Drosophila melanogaster: one gene and its partners. Changing the gene in region 1 together with any one later gene gives a genetic interaction. Each region holds a gene or a part of one and is shown in the gene's direction. Other genes may lie near its edges.

Region 1 (4,837 bases):
CGTTGACTTCTAAGTACCTTGGACAGACCGACATAGTTGAATTTCTCGAACTCCAGACGATTCCGTTCGCCCACCACTCCACGCAGCTGTCCATCGAAGATCCTGCCTGCGGTTACCGTGGGAACGGACATACCGTCGCCCAGGAAAAATATGACATTCTTGGCACGATATTGGTTTGGTGGAGTGGATAGCTTATTGTAGAGCGTGCGCTGGGCGTCGTGAAACCAGAACTCCTTGCTCTTCAACTCGGAAATAGAGTCGAGGTCCCAGGATTGCTCTGAAAGTAATGCGATTTTAGCTTATTTCATTATAAATTAAGAATGCATATTATTCTGATTAATTGAAACCATTTTTTGTTACTAGCCGATATGCATACACATTTCAAGTACAACCTCAAGAATTTATCAATTCCAAGCACATGTTTCGTTTTACAAAACAAAAGCACAGACACAATTGCCATTGTTTTCCACTCCACTTTCGAATTAATCATTAAAAAGGGAAATTGCTTTCAGAAGATAGCACATAAATAAAACACCGAAAGAAACCTATGGAAATTAAGCATTAAAATTAATTCAAATTTAAATTTTAAAGTATTAGTCTTATATCCACTTTCGTTAAAACATTCTCCTTCGGAAAAAGTGATGTTTGACAGCTCTGTTAGCGGGTGTCAAATATTTAATTCAATTTACGAGTATTTTGCTGACGCCTTTTATACTCCGTTTAGCACTTGATTAATCAATTCTGCATATGTTTTGAGTTTGCTTTCGACCTGGCACACTCTCACTCGTTTTTCATTTATTCATTTCGGGTCTTTTGGGCCCGTTTCTGATCTCGGTCTTGACGTTACGCACCTGGCCCATATTTGTACTGGCTGCTACAGGCCGTGAGTTGGAGGGCAAGAGCCGCAAAGAACCGGAGAGCACGCATCGCACGGAATTTTGATGAACTAACTTTCGACTGGTCGGGGCGTTACGAAGTCTACGGATCGACTAAGCCGCATTTCGCAGTTGGAGGCTTATTTATACGAGCCCGGTAAGACAGGGACCGAAAATGCGAGTCGAATTATAAAAAAACACTGAGACAATAAATTAAAACCCGTCCCTGTATTATAAAGCTTCTAAATACACCTACCAACCGGAATTTCGGGATGAAAGAAAGGCATTTATGCCCTTATTCAAATTATGCAGCCAGCACAGCTTAGATTAAAATGATGTTCTCCAAAAATCAGGTTCGTTGCATTGGTCATTTGCATAATATCTTGCATCGCAGTAGGAGATGATGTAATTAGTGGATGCATCGAAGCAGCCTAATTCATTCTGCGATCTAAAGTTCATTAACCGTGCCAAACACCGGATACTGATAAATATCTCCAATACACTAATTTGTAACGTTAATTTGAATTAAGTTGCTTTTGATTTTTTTTATAAACGAGTTGCACTTATTTTGTCTACCAGTTATTTGACTTTTTTAAGAAAAGTAATAATCTTCAATTTTATTTCTGCTAAACAGGTTTCAAATACCCTGAGTTGTACAATGTTAAATTTTAAGTTTTGAATAACATTCTGGGTAAGCAAAATAGTTTTGTATACCTACATTATTATTAAATTTGGTATGAACATATTTATTGAACGGAAGGAAAACTGTCTAAAATTCGACTTATTTGTTTTATAAGGCATCATTGTTGGTCATTTTCATTTCTATACGACATTTTCCTAATCTAACATTTTAATTTTGGAGAAAAAGTGCAAAATAATAATTTATAATTTTGAATAATAACATTAAGCAGTTCATTTTAGACATGGATCGATTTTCAATAATAAATCTCAGGACTTATATACATTTTCGAGACAAAATATAGGGGGAAGAATATAATTAAAATGCAGTTCTATATATCTGCTATTTGAATGCCGCGCCAGATATCGATATAATTGAAGTGCTGTAAAGCGTAGCAAGGAAGTGATGCTAAACGCATCACGCGCTAAGGCACTTTTGGGTATTAGTCGAAAGTGACTTTCTCACAAGTTGGCAGTTCCATTCCAATTGTTGTAAAAACCTAGCTAAAATTTCAGTTTTGCGAACATTCCGCCTACTTAAATCAACAAATTTCAGATTGCGAAACGCGTAAAAAGTGCGAAGGAAATGCTCTAAGATCAAGGTCACCGGCGAAGGTCACCAACGACAGCTAGGGCAACCACAAAAGGTGTGTGGCTGTGCAGCAAACAAAGGGAATGCGAATTGCAAACATTCCGACAAACAGACAAACTAACAAACAAGCACGAATATAGAATATAGAATCAAGAACCTGGCTGAGACGCATAAAAGCGAATGTGATATAAGTGGGCCACGGGGCTAATTCGATTGTCTGTCTCTCCAGGAACAACTTGTCTCCAGCGATAACTCGAAGGTCATCAAAGTGTCTGCCTACGAAAGCATGGACTTACAGCATATGGAGAATGGTCTAAGCGGCGGGGGAGGAGGTGGCCTAAGCGAAATAGATTTCCAAAGGCTGGCCCAGATTATAGCCACCAGCATCCAGAAGGTGCAGCAGAATGGTGAGTGGCGTCGAAGCACTTGCCAACTTTCGCCTATGACTAATCTAGGTTTCTGTCTCTTTCGCAGTGTCCACGATGCAGCGCATGGTCAATCAACTGAACACGCCCCAAGATTCTCCGGAGCTCAAGAAGCAGCTGTAAGATGATTATCATTACGATCTCTTCGTTTGGAATTTAAACTGTCCCCATAGATAGAACCCATTGCAGATATACATCGATTATTCGAATATCTCTCAGACAAATCATAAATTCTAAAGACATAGTGAAGATCTCTATTGGGTGTTTACTCACAATGTCTAAAAATCTTCTTAAGCCAATACAGCCTTTTAATACATTTTGCGCACATCAACCGACCACATAAACCAACAGCAAAATAACATTGTAGTCAGTCATTGGTTTTGAAAGTTTAAACGTATCAGCACAGTGTGATTCACAAATCAAATCAATGTATAACGCACGATAAAAATAACAATCCCTTACTCCACAGCCACCAAATAATGACCTACACCAACCAGCTGGTGACCGACACAAACAATCAAATCAACGAGGTGGACAAGTGCAAGGAGCGCCACCTGAAGATCCAGCGGGATAGGCTCGTGGACGAGTTCACGGCGGCACTGACCGCCTTCCAGGTTTGTTTTTGTTCTCCCAGATAAGCAAATGGTTTTGTGAGTCATGCTGATTGTTTATCATTGGTATTTTTAGTCTGTTCAGCGCAAGACGGCGGACATAGAGAAGACGGCGTTGCGGCAGGCGCGCGGAGATAGCTACAACATCGCCCGTCCACCCGGCTCATCGCGTACCGGCAGCTCCAACAGTAGCGCCAGCCAGCAGGACAACAACTCCTTCTTCGAGGACAACTTCTTCAATCGCAAATCAAACCAGCAACAGATGCAGACTCAGATGGAGGAGCAGGCGGACCTGCAGGCCCTCGAGGAACAGGAGCAGGTCATACGGGAGTTGGAGAACAACATCGTGGGCGTGAACGAGATATACAAGAAGCTTGGCGCCCTGGTCTACGAGCAGGGACTGACGGTGGACTCCATCGAGTCGCAGGTGGAACAGACTAGCATTTTTGTCTCGCAGGGCACGGAAAATCTGCGCAAGGCGAGCTCTTACAGGGTAAGTGCCGCCCCTACAAGGTTATTATTTTAAATAATTTAAATATGTTGTTTATTAGAACAAAGTGCGCAAGAAGAAGCTTATTTTGGTGGGCATCCTGAGCGCCGTGCTGCTGGCCATCATCTTGATACTCGTTTTTCAGTTCAAGAATTAGAGCCTTCCGGCATCTCCGAATGATTCAAACCAAACTAGTAAATTGTTGTGAAAAGACAAGAGTTGCCGCATGCAGGCCCCTAAACCCCGTAATTCCCCACCCAATCCTTTGGACCTTAGGCGAGATTATGGCTTTAATCCTTAATCCAACTTCCAATACTGGCTGAAATCGAAAACTGCGACTCGTAGACGAAGATATAGTGTTTTGAGGAGTATTCACCGGCACGTGCATCTGTTATATTTGCTTTAAAAACAATTTTATATTTTATGTGTACTACTTTTATTATTACGCACCCTGTATATTGATTATTAGTATTGATTAACAACTGTTGGCTTCAAATTCTAATTATGTTCCGAAACTCATTCGCCAGCGCTTTGTATTGTATTGTATTGTATTTAGAGTTAAGAGGCAGAGGAAGCCATATATGCGATGGCATACACACATGTACGAAAAATGAAATAATAAACATGAAAATCGATCCTGCGTGCGTTGAAAACACTTGGAGCACTTCATTTAGGGCCCGACCTGAATGAATCAATGAATGGAACTCGCCAGCTCTTCTGGGCATTCGGAGAAGTGCATGGTCATCGACTCCTCCTTGGCTTAGCGATCATTAAGATTTCGTGTTGGCCATTGTTACGCATGCTTTAGCGGCTTAGGAGCTCCCATCTCCCGACTCCCAACCCGATCTCGATCCCAAAACATTGGTACCAATCCGACTATGTGTTCAGCGAGCGCACACTCTCCGATGGCACATTAATGCCGCGACAGACCTGGATGCGGTGGACCCACTTCAGCTTGCTGCATCGTTGAGGTGTGTCAGCCGGGGCTAAAGGGTTTCCTCGTCGCCGGACCCCATCTTCCTCCACATTTGAAATTCCAGCTCCGCAGGCCTGCATACAAATTGAGTTTAAATTTTTTGCCAATTCACTGACATTGATAGTTCGTTTGGGCATCATTTGTGTGGTGGCTTCTTATCCACTTGTTGGCATCGAGTGGTTTTCTCGCA
Region 2 (4,856 bases), on another chromosome or scaffold:
TCAAATTAATCACTTCTATGTGGTGCTCATGCCCCCCCCGCCCCAATTCCAAAGCCCCTTCATCTCAATAGCTACACTCAAACCCAATCAATTTCCAATTATCCAAGGCCCCGTACGAAATTGTTCATGTTCAACCAATTTCGAAATGGTTTGCTTCGGTTCGGTTCTTAACCCATGCTTACCCTCATTAACATGTCCTGATCGGGGCAGCGCTTCCTTTGGTGGTGCGGCTGCTGTTGTGGTTGTGAAATTATTCATCTCTCTCCTCCTCTCGCCACCCTTCTCTTTCTAACAGGCTCTGGCTGTCTCTTTCGGTGGCTCAAATCTCTATAGAATATCTGTATCTCGTTCTAAAACAGGTGTTTAAATTGGGTAGCTCAAGGACGCGCCTTCCACTCCACTGATTTTTAATTTATGTTGGTTTACTTGTTGAAGCGGGCTGGCAAAATAGATACATAGATGCGGCGATACAGAGCGTGAGTAAACTATATTTTCATCTAATTGCGTCGCTCTCGGTGCAACTATTTCACTTTCACACTTCCACACGAGATATAATGCTTATAATTCCACAATTTCCACCATCAACACGCGCGCAACAACGACAGCTGCAATTCAAAATTCGATTTGATTTAGGTATTGTATCCCAAAGATACGCAACGAACCGGCGGCCGTCGTTCCACGAAAGCAGCAAAACAGCTCATTCAACAGCGAAAGCCGCTCAGCGAATGGATGTTGTTTGACTTGGCCATACAGTCCAGCTAACTGGAAGACACAATAATACTGCAAGCGGCGCTGGAACTGGAAGCCGATACAAATGTATCTCGAAAGCGGCACTGCAATGGAAGAGAGAATAAGAGAGAGGAGAGAGAATAACTCAAAACAGTGCTGCCAAGTTTCAAAAAGATTTCAAATCTAAATACAAAAAGTTATAATTTTACTATTGATTTATAAATTCATTAAACGGTATATATGTACATATGGTTTTTTATTATTATTTAATTTTCCAAAATGAGTTGGGAGCAACGAATTTCAGTATTTCTTTTATTTATGTATATGGCATTTGCTGTTTAGTAAAGACATACACCATTGCGTTAGCTAAGCGAGGTTTCAATCCTCAACAAATGCTACACTTAAAAAATTCCAAAATCATATTTAATTAGATAAAAATTGTGTAGCTAGAAACTTGTTTATAAATATCACGACTGCTAGTTAGTTGTGAAAGTAAGGTATTATAATTAAAATTTAAATAATAGGTAATGTTGTAAAAAAAACTTTAAACGTATAGTTCATATTGGGATACTGGGAATTTCAATAAAAGTTATCTTAAACATATTGTCGTTTATTCATATAAAACTTTATTATTATTTTAATTGATAACTTGGGTAATAAAGTGAGTGAGCAAGTAGTCTCTATAAAATACTTCTTGAGGCACTACCTTCTCGTTGTTATTTATTTTTATAAGTCAAATCGCAGCCGAAATTTAAGAAACTGAAGCCGGGTTCAAAGTATGCCGAAGTCGGGAGTATTTCACTCATAGCGCAAAATAAACAGTCGATCGCAGACACACAAATACTTGTATTACTTGCCACAGCATAGATATACAGATACTTTTGCATCTACAATCGACGTGAAAAAGGTAAACAAAAGTCAAGTCACGGTGCGAATGAGTGTGTATTTGAGATAGATGCCTCGGTGCGAGTGCTGAGTTGTTGGTAACAGCGAGCGATCGCGGCATTCCAGTCAGTAACGAGTTGAATGTGGCTCAAAACGCGTCGCTGAACGATGGCTAAAAACGTTTAAAGTTAAAAAGCGTATTAAATCATATAATATATAATATATTGGTGTAAAAAATACAGAATTAAACCTAATAATTAAGTGTCCGGACATCCCCTAGAAAAATGTGTGAAAATGTTGAGAAACTAACCGGAATACTATGAAAACTGCTGTAAAACTTGGCTAAGATAAACTCGTTTGCACCAATACACATGTGATTATACGTATAAGGGCAACGCAAAATACTCAGACTCCAGAAGCCAGCAATTAAAAAAGAAGTTAGTCAGTTAGCGTCTGGGCCGCGTTACTGGTGTATGAATCATACTTTGGATACGTTTAAAAATAACAAAACAAAAACCTTAAAACGAGGAAAAAGTTGTAACAGTGCTAATGTAAACTTCGATCAAACTTAGCGGAACGAGCTCGCTACAAAACCAAATACCCATAACAAGTAAATTAAGCACACATTATAAAATACCTCAAATGTCGGTCAGGAAGTTGAGTGCCCTATCGCTCTCCATTGGTGGAGTTCCGTTGATTCCAAGTGTTTCCTTGGTAGCTGCGGCCAATGGAGAGAGTAGGGATTGCCATGGCACGATCTGTCATCCGGTCAATGAATTTTGCTATGTTGCAACGGAGAGATGTCATCCGTGCATCGAGGTCTGCAATAATCAAACCCACAACTACGATGCGTTTCTGTGCGCCAAGGAATGTTCAGGCAAGTAGAATTCAAAGATTTCCAAAAGATTACCTCAGATTAACTCACGATCCATAGGGTAATTTGGCGGGTTCTATGCAAGTTCAGGTTTTTCCAGCTGGACTTAATTGTATTTCAATTACAGTTGCTTCAGCGGGTGATTAACTCATCACCCATGAGTTGACTAAAATAGGGGGTATTTTAAAGATTTAAAGAATGTACATTTTTATAATAAAAATGATTTGTTGAAACTAGCTTTATAATAATTTTTTTAGTGTAAAAGATTTGTAAAAGTTGTAATGGCAAGATAAGGCCAGTTGCATTTGCAATTTTTATCTGACTATGTACAACGAGTTATCAAAAACGTTCCCGTGTTTTATCAATTATTATTTACTTAAAACGATAATAGTAGCGATATTATTTAATTTCTTTATCAACCCACAGCTTACAAGACATTTGAGCCGTTAAAAGCCGAGATGCTGGACATCCAGAATACCCAGCAGCTGATCCTCTTGCTGCTGACTATCCTTCTCGTCCTGATTGCGCTTCGTTGCGCGTTTCAGTTCCTTCGATGGCTGATAGGCAATCGGTGCTTCCAGAAGCTGATGCGCCGTCTCCAATCGAAGGCCTACCCTCATCCGGCAACTGCAAATGGAAAGGATCTTAATGCTACCACCATACAGAATCTGAATGCCATTAACCATCCCGGCAGCGACCTTGAGCGGGCACAATCACAGATCTACAGTGTGGCAGGTAAGTGTAAGGATCTACCTGTCCGGGTTTTTCCAATAACACTTCCCAATGTACACATTATACCTGCAATGATTTATTACAGGTGCTGCCGAGGGTTCCGTTGTGACTATGACAACGCCGGTGAGCACTCGCTATCCGGCGGAAAACAGTACCACGCCCACAACGGTTATGACGGAGATCGGATACGGATACGATAATCAGGCCATGGTCGTAACGCCGGTTTCCGAGAAACCCTCAGCAGCGACGATTCCCGTCGCTTTCTAAGGCCATACAAGTACTTGAAAACTCTTACTTCTAAATCAGTCCAGCGAAAGCAAAATGTGCACCACATTAAAACTAGTGATATTTTTCATAGTTATTAAGCAAGAAGTCTTCTATCAATATGGAATATATACGCATATCTGTAGAATATAAACCTTAATTAATAGGTTTATATATGTTGGGACATATTTTTGATAACCCAATGTGGCCCTGAAAACTTATATTCGATCTGTATGAAATTATATGTAAAGGAACTTTTTTCTCTTTACTTTAATATTTTCCTTAAAGCAACGAAAATACTTACAACATCACAACTATGAACGAAGAGACATATTTATAACTGTTAAGAAATATATTTATAATGTTCAATTTATTATCATGTTAAGTTTTTTATGTGGAAAAGTTTTGTAAATGGTAATATGGGGGAAAACCAATTCATTCGCAATCACCACAAACGTTTCTCAACACACTTCCATCCGGTTAAAATAATTACGAATGCGAAATAAATCTTCCTGAAAATTTTTTGAGTTTTGAAATAAGACACGGGAACTACGCTTAAAAGTATTGTCATTTATTGTAAAAAGTATTCCACGTTGGCAAACACAATTCTAAGGCTAAGTTAAGTTGGCTTTTTGAGTATAACTCTTGTTCTCGTCCTTAATGCTAATCGTTTGTATATGACACGCCAGATATGTATGTGTGCTTGTTTCCAAACTATAATTAATGTTTTCGTATATAAAATGCTTCACTTTTCCTAACGAATCTCATAAATCAGCCTTAAACGTAAGCTTATATTTAAATAAATAACCTAGGACTAATTCCGATCGAATTGGAAACGCTTGTATTGATCCCTTTATTGCAGAACATCCTTCTAAACCTTACACCCAATACTGATTCCGCCTAAGTAGTGGATTTGTTGGCGGGGCCGAGGGCGGTGAGCTGACCGATCCGGAAATACTTTGTGGCACAGAGGCATAGCCAGCAAAATCATTCGCCATATCGCAGGACGAACTCCAGGCGTCGTGCTCCATGTGATAAGGATTATATCTCTGCGGCAGCATCATTTGCTGCGGATCGCACTGATCGTCCGTCTCCTCCTCATCGGGATCGTAGTCGGGATACTCATGTTTGTACGACTCCACGGGTATTATCTTGCAATGGGGAATATTGCTGAAACCCGGTAACGGTGTTGAATTTCCTGTGGCCGGCACGGAATCCGCCTCGGAACTTGCGTAATGGTGGCCATGATGATGGTGCAGATGGTGTTGCGGACTCACAGAAGTCAAGTCTGGTGGACACGGTAGCGCCGGCGGCTGATCCTTGGATATATCTGCCTTGTGCTTTCTCAGTTTCCTGATCTTTAATATCAACA
Region 3 (7,525 bases), on another chromosome or scaffold:
TTATATTTATATGCATGTGTTCCGCTGCAAATTATACAAAGAGTGCCAATTGTGCAAGAAATTTTGCATTCATATCGTGATCTTTCGATTTGCAACTAAAACAACTAAAGCACGCCTCATGTTTTAGATAATCAATATATACGAATAGTTTTGGTTTGATATTAATTGCTGCTAATCAAGTGAAATGTGCGCAGAAACACACTGACTTTATTATAATATTTCTATTTCTTATATTTTGCAGATTGCAGCACAAAAACAATAAAGAGTTCAGACGATAATATCCTGGAAAGAAAACATTTCGTTTCGATAAGTACGACAAGACACGAAACAACAAAATGTCTCCAAAAGCGGTAAGTTAACCAATAACTATAAAATAATAAATAATTAGTACTGATTAGACAGTATTATAATAAGTTCGAAATATTCCATTATAATGGTAACCATATATCACTGGAATGAAACCACAAACGAATCTGATAAAACAAATGTTTTGCACTAGCGCCTAGTAAATTATTAAAGATTAGTTATATTAAATCACAACGAAAAGTTTGTCAGCTATCAGCTATCGGAAATTGTGTTCTTATCAAGAGAGCACTTCAGCTACAATTGTCGTCAATTGTGGAGTGTTGGGATCGCATCGCATCTTTTAATAGAACTTCTTCTGGGGGGGAATGGGGATGGCCAGGCGAAGACGTCATATTGGCCCAACTGTTGACGTTGGTAATTGTATTTGATTCTTGGACATTTGCCAAAAAAAATTTCATCATTTCATCAGATACGCAGACGGCGAAAAATTGGATTAGAAGACGACGTCATTGATATGAACACATGAGTAGATCATTATTTCATACCAAAGCATTTGCCAATTTCTTTTTGACATGTTGTGATTTCTTTTTTTTTTTTTTTGGCAACCGGAAAAGTTCTTATCTCACCCAGCGATGGTCTAATGACATTTTTGCCTCAACTTGATTGTTAATGAATGATGTATTTGTTATGAGTTCATCATGACAATCAAACACGTGATTTGAAGTGATTTTATAATACAATTTGGATGATTGAAAGGTGATTTTTGCACAAAGCTTTAAGAAGTCGTTTGCCTTTTAGGGAAATTTCTCTGTTCCAATGCAGTAGTCGATGCACATCGTGCTTGAATGGTTTCTCCATAACTTTCCCTTTTTCGCTATAGTTTTTCTCATCCATAACTAGATGTTTATTGGTCTGTTTGAATAGCTTGATATGTGAGTGCGGAGTGGGGAGGGGGGAGGGGTTTAATTGCTATTTGAGGCCCAAAAGCGGCATCAATAAAACAGAATTGACAGCCAACGCGTCGTATGATTGACGCTGATTTGTTTGCCTACCTTGGGGCTGCGTTTCTACGGCGCTCTCTCGTGCTCTTCGGCGCACAGCGCTGGCCAAATGACTAGTGTTCAAACTAAAAATTAGCTAACTATACAGCTAATTCAATCAATAATTCATTTAGAGAATTGGTTGTGTTTTGATTTATATATATATTTTTTAAATATATTTTACCATATTGCACTATTTACTTGACCCCCATTGCATTCACATACTTCTCTCGTTCTGGAAAACCCATTTGACCTCTATGGTCAGCAGTTCTTTTCTTTATGGTTGCGGCTGTCCACTTTTAGATGCATAATTAACATGCAATTTATATTAACTTGACAACGAATGACTGGGATAAAAATTTTCCCATTTTCTTGGGCAGAAATTAAGTTCATTTTGTGTTGTGTTGTGTGTTCCCTTAGCGTTTCTTTTGCGTTCTGCCGCCGCCGCCGCTTTCCCAGTGTTGTTTTTTGTTTTTCTTCTCTTCTAGCATTTATTTTCCTTTTGCCTTTTGCGCTTGTCTTCCCCATTTGGCGACTTAAAAACGTGCCGTGACTTTTCCATTTTCCTCAGTTGCCGCTGGACAACAGAATCGAATCGTCGCTTTTCCGCTTTTAACCATCGTGTCGCGTTGGTCGGTTGGTTTTCCCGCGTAGCTTGTGGCTGCTCAAGAATATATATATATTTCCCAGACGGAGATTTGCATTGAAAAGGCGTAATAATTCAAAAGCTACTGCGCAATCCGTTTTCGGTGCCCAAAATGGTCGTCGTCTCCGACAGCCGCGTCCGTTTGCCGCGTTACGGCGGAGTCAGCGTCAAACGGAAAACGGTACGGACCACACTGCTCACTATTTTCCACGTTTTTCCTGCTAAGCTGGAAAAGCGCATCCCCCTTTTCTTTTTTTTTTTTTTCATGTGCTGCACTTTTGTGGTTTCAAGTCAAAAACCATTTTTTTTTCTTTTTTAAAAACTGGTTATTATGCTCCAACTTCCGTTGCAAATAGCTGTTGTGTTTTTCATTCTCAGCGGCCAGGGGGAGAAAAAAACAAAGCAGAAACCACGGTGGTTGCATTAACCCAAAAACGTTAATTGGATTGAAATGAAAAACGTTTTCAATTTCCTAACATTGTGTCACGTTTGATTTGCATTCAGCAGCCGAAAGCGAAAACAAAACAATGAGCCCTCGGACTGAAAAGCAAAACCGAGCCAAACAAAATGATGAAGTTAAAAAATTTTAATTTGTTGGGTCTACCACACATTGTTTTTTCCCATGCCCAGAAAATGGTAACAAAAACCAGCGGATTTTCAAAGGGCCTTTAAAACTGAAATTGGTTCAATCAATCTTAACAGATAGGAAATAAAATAGTTTAAAAAAATTTGTAGCTGATTTAGGTATTTAGCAAAATTCCTTTGTATATTTCAATAAAGTAAAGGAATATTTTAAACGAATGGTTTTTAATGTAAGACTTACATTTGTTGGCCATGTTGTAAAAAGCGAACTGAATTGTTAGTTATATATACTCTATTGTCTGCGCTGCATATTAACCCCAATTTTGATCTACGATCGCATTTACTTTGATCCAAATGTGGCGATTGCGCAATGGTATGTAGTGTAGTTAGTACAGGTTGACATGTGCATGTGCTGTGTGTCCGACGTTGGGTGGCGATGTGGGTGGAATTTCCCTAGCTTTTCCGCCATTTCACATTGCAAGTTGGTCAAGTGGCACGCGCAGTGGGATAGATAGCGGCTGAGCTCTCTCTTTCTATCTCTCTCTTGTATAACCACCGATTACCACTCGCTGGCCATCCGGTCTATATTCCCATACACACACACACACACACACACGCACACCCCACACCCTGTGTTTTCCCCCCACTTATTTCCACTATCTAGAGCTGCCTGGTCATTTCCAGCTTGTTGCTATTGTCATGCCTGATTGATTTTTGCTTTGCTGTTTTCCAAGCGTGATTTTTCACTGCGGCCCGCTTTCATTTTCCCTCTTTCCATTTTGCCCTCCATTTTCCCCCATTTCCCCCCATTTTTTCAAGCATTTTTCACCCATTTGAAACGTGTGTGTGCGCGCGTTTAAGTCGAAAGCCCGACTTATGCAAGTCGTGGCAATCGAATCCAATCCTCCAAAGCGAAACGGGAGCTCTTGGCACGTGCCCTGCTCACATCCCGTTAATCCATCGACCCCTAAACAAATCGTGGGGGATTCTCCTCTGCACGCCACCTTCATCGATGGGTGTCAATTTTTTACTCTTTTTTTTTTCTATTTGGCTTGTGAGCATGCCCAGTTAGTTTGATCTAGTTAGCTTTTCATGTCATGGATGATGGCACTTTTAACTTAAGAAATGCAGCAAAAGAAACAAATAAGTTACATTTAATTAATAAAACATTCTGTTTGATTCATTCGTTTTTAGTTTGCCTTCTAAAGGCAATGCTTTGTTCTTTTATATATATATATATATATATATTTTTGCGTTATTTTAATCATTTAATACGATATTTTTTTAATATCACGACATCCCTTACTAATTTCAGCTAAATGTGCGCGTCACGACAATGGACGCGGAACTGGAGTTCGCCATTCAGTCGACGACGACGGGCAAGCAATTGTTTGACCAGGTGGTGAAGACGATCGGCCTGCGAGAGGTTTGGTTCTTTGGACTCCAGTACACCGACTCCAAGGGCGACTCCACATGGATCAAGCTGTACAAAAAGGTAGGCGACTATAAATTTCATACAAATAAAGTTTGAAGTTTATAGTTCAAAAGAATATAAATTTAAATTATTTACTAAGATTGCATGTACATCATAATATTTATAAATGTAATGTATGGTACATACATAATATAGCCCGAATCGCCGGCCATAAAGACAATAAAATATTTAAAGCGTGTAAAGAAGTATGTGGACAAAAAGACAGCCGACAGCAATGGAGTAAATCATTTAGAGACGAGCGAAGAGGATGACGACGCCGATGATATGGTGGGCAGAGATCGAGAATATATTTATATATATATATATATGCCAATCCAGCAAAGTACATCCACAAAAAGTCCCAGCTAGAACATAAACCGAATTATCCTGTAAAATGCCAATTCTATAATTGTATTGTATCGCCTCGCCTTCGAATGCTTAGCTTAAGTTAATTAGCGATTGTTAGAGACTTGATTTACTAATACAAATGCAATCTCTGTATATGATTTAATGCTGCACCACAACAACAAACAGACTGGATCAATGCCGTTTTCGACATGGGTAACACTCAGACGCCGCATGCACTTTTTTATCTATGATATTATGTTTATTATTTCATTATTGAATCGGGAAAACCAAACGTTTTTTTTTTTTTCGTATACAAATCCATTTGCAGTTTGTAAACTTTAGCGTGCATTCGCATCTAATAGTGATATGTTTTCGCTTTTCACAGGTGATGAACCAGGACGTGAAGAAGGAGAATCCCTTGCAGTTTAGGTTCCGTGCCAAATTCTATCCCGAGGATGTGGCCGAGGAGCTGATCCAGGACATTACACTGCGTCTGTTCTACCTGCAGGTGAAGAATGCCATACTGACCGACGAGATCTATTGTCCGCCAGAGACATCCGTGCTGCTCGCCTCGTACGCCGTCCAGGCGCGTCATGGTGACCACAATAAGACCACCCACACAGCCGGCTTTCTGGCCAACGATCGCCTGCTGCCGCAGCGCGTCATCGACCAGCACAAGATGTCCAAGGACGAGTGGGAGCAGTCGATTATGACCTGGTGGCAGGAGCATCGCAGCATGCTGCGCGAGGATGCCATGATGGAGTATCTGAAGATCGCCCAAGACCTGGAGATGTACGGCGTTAACTACTTTGAGATCCGCAACAAGAAGGGCACGGATCTTTGGCTGGGCGTAGACGCACTGGGTCTGAACATTTACGAGCAGGACGATAGGTTGACGCCGAAAATTGGTTTCCCATGGTCCGAGATTCGCAACATTTCGTTCTCGGAGAAGAAGTTCATCATCAAGCCGATCGACAAGAAGGCTCCGGACTTTATGTTCTTTGCGCCACGTGTCCGCATCAACAAGCGCATTCTGGCCCTCTGCATGGGCAACCACGAGCTGTACATGCGTCGCCGCAAGCCGGACACCATCGATGTGCAGCAGATGAAGGCGCAGGCGCGCGAGGAGAAGAATGCCAAACAGCAGGAACGGTTAGTACGGATTTCAAGTCATGTCTGTTTGAATGAATCAAAACTTTGGGAATTTCAACGAAATACAACGTTTCAATGACCCGAAACATAATGATTCGAGCATATCATTTCCATGAGAGTCTGATTCATGCACAGGCTATAATCTGCAAGCAGATGATTCCCTTCTTATTTTCGGTGTTCTTTCGTTTTTGCAGTGAGAAGCTGCAGCTGGCGCTGGCCGCACGCGAACGCGCTGAAAAGAAGCAGCAGGAGTACGAGGATCGGCTAAAGCAGATGCAGGAGGACATGGAGCGTTCGCAGCGCGATCTGCTTGAGGCGCAGGACATGATCCGCCGGCTGGAGGAGCAGCTGAAGCAGCTGCAGGCCGCCAAGGATGAGCTGGAGCTGCGCCAGAAGGAGCTGCAGGCGATGCTGCAGCGCCTCGAGGAGGCCAAGAATATGGAGGCCGTCGAGAAGCTCAAGCTCGAGGAGGAGATCATGGCCAAGCAGATGGAGGTGCAGCGCATTCAGGACGAGGTCAACGCCAAGGATGAGGAGACAAAGCGTCTGCAGGACGAAGTGGAAGACGCCCGACGCAAGCAGGTCATTGCGGTACACTTTTTTCACTATTTGTTGGCATCGAAAAAACCAATGAATATAGTCTTGATACCATTTTGTGTTCAACTTTATACTGAACATTGTCGTTTTTGTAGGCTGAAGCCGCTGCCGCTCTGCTGGCCGCGTCGACAACGCCGCAGCATCACCACGTGGCCGAGGATGAGAACGAGAACGAGGAGGAGCTGACGAACGGCGATGCCGGTGGCGATGTGTCGCGCGACCTGGACACCGACGAGCATATCAAGGACCCCATCGAGGACAGACGCACGCTGGCCGAGCGCAACGAACGCTTGCACGATCAGCTCAAGGTGGGTTCGAAATCGAGTCCCTTATGCTCCACTCAACTAACAATATCAATTTGATATATATATATATCTATATCTAGGCTCTGAAACAAGATTTGGCGCAGTCTCGCGACGAGACGAAAGAGACGGCAAACGATAAGATTCATCGCGAGAACGTTCGCCAGGGACGTGACAAGTACAAGACGCTCCGCGAGATTCGTAAGGGCAACACAAAGCGTCGCGTCGATCAGTTTGAGAACATGTAAAAGCTATCAAAGATCAGAGATCGATAGTGCGCGGGAAAGAGAGAGGGAGCGGTGAGACTCCAGAAAGAAAAAGAAAAAGATATAACTACAGCAAGAGCAGATAATAATAATGATGATTGATAATGATGAAGATGATGATGAAGAATAAGCAACAAATATAATTCCGGTCGCTGGCAAAAGCCTATTGCTAACTATCCCACCAGCGACGACCCTTTTCCACCCATAAGAACACTTCCTGCCTCCTAAAGTGAATTGAAATGAAATATACTTTGTTTGACCGTCGTTTTGTCTCGCAGCTTTTGTATAGAAGAATCAAGAATAAGCAAAAAGAAAAAAAGAAAAAATAAATTAATGGAAACTAATTTAGCCGGACACAGCACTCATCAATATGAATAGAATGAGAAGACGGTTAGGAAGGACCGCATCTATATGGACAATCAGCAAATGAATGAGGATCAAGCTATCGGAAAATATGTCTAAATCCAAGCAGAAGCAATAGAAAATATACATTTCTCCTTTTCCCAATGGATTCATTGAGAAAACGGAACGAATAGTAATAGATATTGAAAAGGAACATCAGCAACAATAAACAACAACAACATCAACAACAACAAGAACAGCTACTACAACAAAACAAACAACTATTTGCATTTTCCCCCGTTATAATTATTATTTTTATTATTATATAATTACTATTTTTTTTAAATTTGTATAATTAAATAAGAACTTGATTAATTGTTTCTTAAATTAACTTGAGAGAGAGCAACAAACAAAAAGAGAAAAAATATATTATATAAAATATTTTTCTTTAATCTATTTTTGTTTTGCAA
Region 4 (4,772 bases), on another chromosome or scaffold:
CATATATGTGCATATATCAACAAGTTGCCCGCAGTCAGTTGGTTGGAAATTGGTGCAATTGGTAAAGGATTATACTAAATGGTATTGAAGTTGCTTGCTGGGTTGACACGGGTGCTGATGTTACGGTTGTGATGTACTCGGTGTACATGAGGCAAAAAGATGTTGTGCTAAGTCCATGTCGTTCTTTGTTGCGTGGCCTGGGCAAGGCGGCCACGTTGCCTCTGGGAGTTTTCGCTGGAGATGTTCAAATAGACGATATGGAGACTGTTCAAAACTTCATCGTGGTGGCGGATGAAAAAATGGAAGGTGATGGAAGTGCATTGGATACGATTTTCTATCGAAGTTTCAATTTACACTGGATGTAAATGGGTTTACGTTTTGTGTCGTTATCAGCTTGGCCTGAGGTAGCTAACATTAACCAGATAAGTATTCACGATTATGTTTGCACTGAAAGTAATGTGAATGCTCCTCCCCAATTTGCACCTATGATACGGAAGCTGATAGACGAATATCATCCAACCTCCAATTGTGCCGGATGAGAAAATTAAGACGTTTCGTCATCAACCAAGTCGACATCCGCCAGTTAAAGCCAAAGCCGTTAAAAAACAAGTCGATGACTGGTTAAAAGAAGAAATCGATTGACCATCTACTTCAAGCTTCGCCAGTAGAACTGTCGTAGTGAAGAAAAAAGTACGGCACTTACAGAATCTGTATAGGACTATCGCCAATTAAACAGCATGGTTCTCAAGGATTGCTTCCCTGTGTCGATTTCCTGCAATTCTACTGCGGCATTTATAAGATTTATAAACCACATATTCCCGAGACATTCTACAACTCTATATGGATGATATTATAATATATGGACAGACGAATGACGAATGTATTAAGAAACTAAAGTTGGTGCTATTAGAATCAGCGAAGTTCGGCTTACGTATAAAGTGAAAGAAATGTCATTTCATACGCACGATATTGGAAGAACGACCTTACAATGACCTTAAACTGAAGGGAGGAGTTTTATTCATGTTTGTCAAAGGAAATGATTTGCTTATTGTACCTAAAATAATCGAACGTAAGATTATAAACGAAGCTCATGGATTCGGACATTATGCAAACCAGAACAAACCGTACATTCTATACAACAGCAGTTTTGGATTCCACACCTAGAGAGCAAGGTCGAAAAGCTTATAGACGCGTGTATTCCGTGTATTATTACGAACAAAAAGCTGGGCAAACAGGATGGACTTTTATGATGCATTGAGAAAGGTGACAAGCCGTTACACAATATAAGTACATCTTCGCACTTGTTGGTGGATTTTTGAAATTCGTGTGGATTTTTACTACAAAATGTCTTAACAACAACTGGAGTTGCCAGAGGAAATGGGCGGGTAGAGAGAATTAAATAGATCTATCTTATCGTTTTAAAAATACAACAACGATTGAAAACTCTCGAAATGGGATGTACTGGCGCCATCTATCGGAGGTAATAGGTACCCCGAGACGCATGCAAAGCGCCAGAGGGCGACACAGCTCCTCTGACGAGATGGCATCACTATTTTTATTGGGAGTATTGGTATCTCGGGTGTAAAAATTAAATTGATGCCTAATTTTTGAAAATATGTCACACAAATAATAAGTATCTTTTAAGTGGATAGATCCATTGATGTCGCTGGAATTAAAAATACAAATACCAATGTTATCGTTATCGGCGAGTCCACACTGTGCTAGGCAAAAATATCGACGTACCTTGCGCCCGATATCTGGCACTAATGTATCGATGACGGTCTTGTTAAATTATTAAAAAAAAAACAAGTTTGTACTTGAAAAGTACGGCGTATATCTACAGCGAAGAACGCAAGAACCCGCCAAGGCAGCGTCCGATGCAGACGCCATCTGTTCAAGCATTGAGCCCGGAATCCGGAGGAATCCCGGCCAGGATGTGATGTGCGCACTGGGCCCTCTCCGCTGGTCGATATAAACTCGTGCCCCCCTCTTCTAGCCACCTTCTTGCTGTCAACCGCCTGCTCATTCTACCCCACAGTTCCAGTCCCAGTCCTGCACAGCAATCATCTTCGCCTGGAGAAGTCTACCGGTAGCACGAGTGGTGGAACCAGGCAGACTACAAAGGACACGGAGACCGCGGTGTCTGGGAAATCGGCTGAGCACGGAAACCGATCCACTAGGGTTGGCATCACGCACCACTTTGTCCAGGAACCTGCAGCTGAGGAATCTAGATAACATCTGAAGTCTCCTGGGAACTGCGAAACACACCATATCTTAGCAAAATGACGTGGTAAAAGTTGTCAGTCGCAATCTATACAAAGGCAAGAAACTTTATGATGAATCCAGGTCTAGATCTTGCAAAGATTCCGAAAACTCTGTCCCCAAGAGGGAACCAAAGGCACAGTTAGCCAGCAATGAAATCGGGAACCCACGGAATCGTAGCCACTAAAAAGGCGAAATCCCGGTAATTCTACCAAAATAGCGCACCACCTGGACACCATAGAAGAGAGCCTTAAGGCAAGGAATCGGTGGCATACTTGGACAGTTGAAGAGAACTTTAAATCTGGTAATCAGCGGCGCCAAATGCAACTGCAACTGGTAAACTAGTACTCATTTGTAAGCCAAAACACTGACAAACAAAAGCTGCATCTGAAAAGCAAGTAGAGAACACCAGGATACTTAGCGTTCCACGGAGATGGCCACAGCATCGCTGGACGCACTGCAGGCAGCCTATGTGGACTTCAGTGAGATAACACTAAGAGAGGTGTGCATACCAAACGGAATATACCCAAAGTCTAGAGCTCCTATTGGTGTATACGTATACGCAATCTTGAAACGATAAACAACCAGTAATCATATACCATTTAGGGCAGAGCAAGTACTCATTCTTAGTTAGTCAGACGATTATCGCACTTTCAAAAAGCATGTTTTAATCTATAAACGGTTATTTTTTCGTTTTAAAAGTGTATGCTTTGTAACAGCTCTGTTAAAAAACCCAAGAAAGGTTTTATATTTTAAACTTACGCATTCCTAAATGCTTACATTCGTTTTAGGATTTCGTTTCAAACTTATTAAAACAAACTACAGACTGTATACAAATATCAGCATATTTATTAACGATACGATCTTATCAGTTTGATAAGAAACGAATTTCAAATTTACCCATCACAATGCGTTCGTGTGTTCTACTTGAAGTCAATTCAAACTGTGTTAGACCAAGGTGTATAACGTAATTAGTATTGAGGAGTTTTGCACAAGGAGGGTACAACTGTTGAATCAGATCTAATAATCTTTTTCCCCGCAGAAAGTCGGCCATGGGTCCTACGGAGTGGTCTGCAAGGCCGTTTGGCGCGACAAGCTGGTTGCCGTCAAGGAGTTCTTCGCCAGCGCCGAGCAGAAGGACATCGAGAAGGAGGTGAAGCAGTTGTCGCGCGTGAAGCACCCGAACATCATCGCTCTGCACGGGATATCCTCGTACCAGCAGGCCACCTACCTGATAATGGAGTTCGCCGAAGGTGGATCGCTGCACAACTTCCTTCACGGCAAGGTGAAGCCGGCATATTCTCTGGCCCACGCCATGAGCTGGGCGCGCCAATGTGCAGAGGTAGGTCGTCGTCGAGGGGCGGGGCGGTTATAACGTAGGGCTCAACCCCGTAGCGCTTTCCATCCAATTCGTTGAAATTATCTGGTGAAATAATGACTCAAATGGATTGTGGTAATTCACATTGCTTGCATGATTACTTAAACAATTTCAATAGCTATTCCGCATAACCAGAATTAAAATAATAGTAATTTGTTTAAAGTTTAGCCCTAATTACATTTCCATTTGTTTTCCTCTCTAGGGTCTGGCATATTTGCATGCCATGACGCCAAAACCACTAATACATCGCGACGTGAAGCCGCTGAACCTGCTCTTGACCAACAAGGGACGCAATCTGAAGATATGCGACTTCGGCACGGTGGCGGACAAGTCGACCATGATGACCAACAATCGCGGCAGTGCCGCTTGGATGGCGCCCGAGGTCTTCGAAGGCTCCAAGTATACGGAGAAGTGTGACATTTTTAGCTGGGCCATTGTTCTATGGGAGGTTCTGTCCAGGAAGCAGCCCTTTAAAGGCATCGACAATGCCTACACCATCCAGTGGAAGATCTACAAGGGTGCGTCCTCCAATTCACTCTTTTTCCATCGAGCTTATCGAGATCTGTGCTCCTCGCAGGTGAACGCCCGCCGCTGCTGACCACTTGCCCCAAGCGCATCGAGGACCTGATGACCGCCTGCTGGAAAACGGTGCCCGAGGATCGCCCGTCGATGCAGTACATAGTGGGCGTTATGCACGAGATCGTCAAGGACTATACGGGGGCGGACAAGGCCCTGGAATACACGTTTGTTAATCAACAGGTGAGACAGCTTTATTGGGTCAATACACAATTGTAAAAGAGTCAATTGGTGTTTTTATCTATTGAGGAAAGCGTTCTTTTACTCTGCCCGTCTTTAAAACCTAATTTAAATTCGATATTGTTTGGCACTAAATGCAATCATTACCCTATACGGATAACATCACTTTTGCGTTATTTTCCTTTGCCACACATTGCTAACTCTTGATCCTTGAACTGCTCGCAGATTGTCACCAAAGAGAGCGACGGCACGGTGGCCGCTCAACCGGATAGCCTCAGTTCGCAGGAGGGGGAACTGAGCCCCTCGTCCACACAGTTAACACCGACAACGGCGGCCAACGCCAATGTGAACGCGATAGCAATATCAAAAACAACGA

The links.
Region 2: of Syx7 (region 1) and grnd, changing one suppresses a phenotype caused by changing the other (phenotypic suppression), as found in Drosophila melanogaster (one study listed by BioGRID).
Region 3: of Syx7 (region 1) and Moe, changing one suppresses a phenotype caused by changing the other (phenotypic suppression), as found in Drosophila melanogaster (one study listed by BioGRID).
Region 4: of Syx7 (region 1) and Tak1, changing one suppresses a phenotype caused by changing the other (phenotypic suppression), as found in Drosophila melanogaster (one study listed by BioGRID).

What each region holds. Positions count from the first base shown.
Region 1 is NT_037436.4:21,443,824-21,448,660, forward strand, and holds Syx7 (syntaxin 7), read left to right. Parts: upstream 1-2,010; 5' UTR 2,011-2,200; intron 2,201-2,337; 5' UTR 2,338-2,431; coding exon 2,432-2,552; intron 2,553-2,619; coding exon 2,620-2,689; intron 2,690-3,039; coding exon 3,040-3,184; intron 3,185-3,257; coding exon 3,258-3,674; intron 3,675-3,732; coding exon 3,733-3,828; 3' UTR 3,829-4,305; downstream 4,306-4,837. Other genes in the region: Alp1 (alkaline phosphatase 1), read right to left, coding at 18-277, 852-927.
Region 2 is NT_033779.5:18,483,712-18,488,567, forward strand, and holds grnd (grindelwald), read left to right. Parts: upstream 1-1,705; 5' UTR 1,706-2,256; coding exon 2,257-2,491; intron 2,492-2,914; coding exon 2,915-3,223; intron 3,224-3,305; coding exon 3,306-3,487; 3' UTR 3,488-4,310; downstream 4,311-4,856. Other genes in the region: CG10283 (uncharacterized protein), read right to left, coding at 183-258; kon (kon-tiki), read right to left, coding at 4,363-4,856. UniProt on the Drosophila melanogaster protein: Acts as a receptor for TNF-cytokine egr. Plays a role in activation of JNK signaling and is required for egr-induced apoptosis, including in wing imaginal discs during development. May also play an egr-independent role in cell proliferation.
Region 3 is NC_004354.4:8,873,117-8,880,641, reverse strand, and holds Moe (moesin), read left to right. Parts: upstream 1-1,916; 5' UTR 1,917-2,104; coding exon 2,105-2,173; intron 2,174-3,480; exon of another isoform or gene 3,481-3,586; coding exon of another isoform or gene 3,587-3,628; intron 3,629-3,889; coding exon 3,890-4,069; intron 4,070-4,204; coding exon 4,205-4,336; intron 4,337-4,582; coding exon 4,583-4,609; intron 4,610-4,620; exon of another isoform or gene 4,621-4,781; coding exon 4,782-5,548; intron 5,549-5,742; coding exon 5,743-6,139; intron 6,140-6,240; coding exon 6,241-6,453; intron 6,454-6,530; coding exon 6,531-6,695; 3' UTR 6,696-7,019; downstream 7,020-7,525. UniProt on the Drosophila melanogaster protein: Involved in connections of major cytoskeletal structures to the plasma membrane. Together with wgn, involved in control of axon targeting of R8 and R2-R5 photoreceptors, independent of egr.
Region 4 is NC_004354.4:20,521,891-20,526,662, reverse strand, and holds the start of Tak1 (TGF-beta activated kinase 1), read left to right. Parts: upstream 1-1,734; 5' UTR 1,735-2,695; coding exon 2,696-2,764; intron 2,765-3,304; coding exon 3,305-3,604; intron 3,605-3,842; coding exon 3,843-4,158; intron 4,159-4,217; coding exon 4,218-4,399; intron 4,400-4,621; coding exon 4,622-4,772. UniProt on the Drosophila melanogaster protein: Component of a protein kinase signal transduction cascade. Mediator of TGF-beta signal transduction. Responsible for activation of the JNK MAPK pathway (basket, bsk and hemipterous, hep) in response to LPS.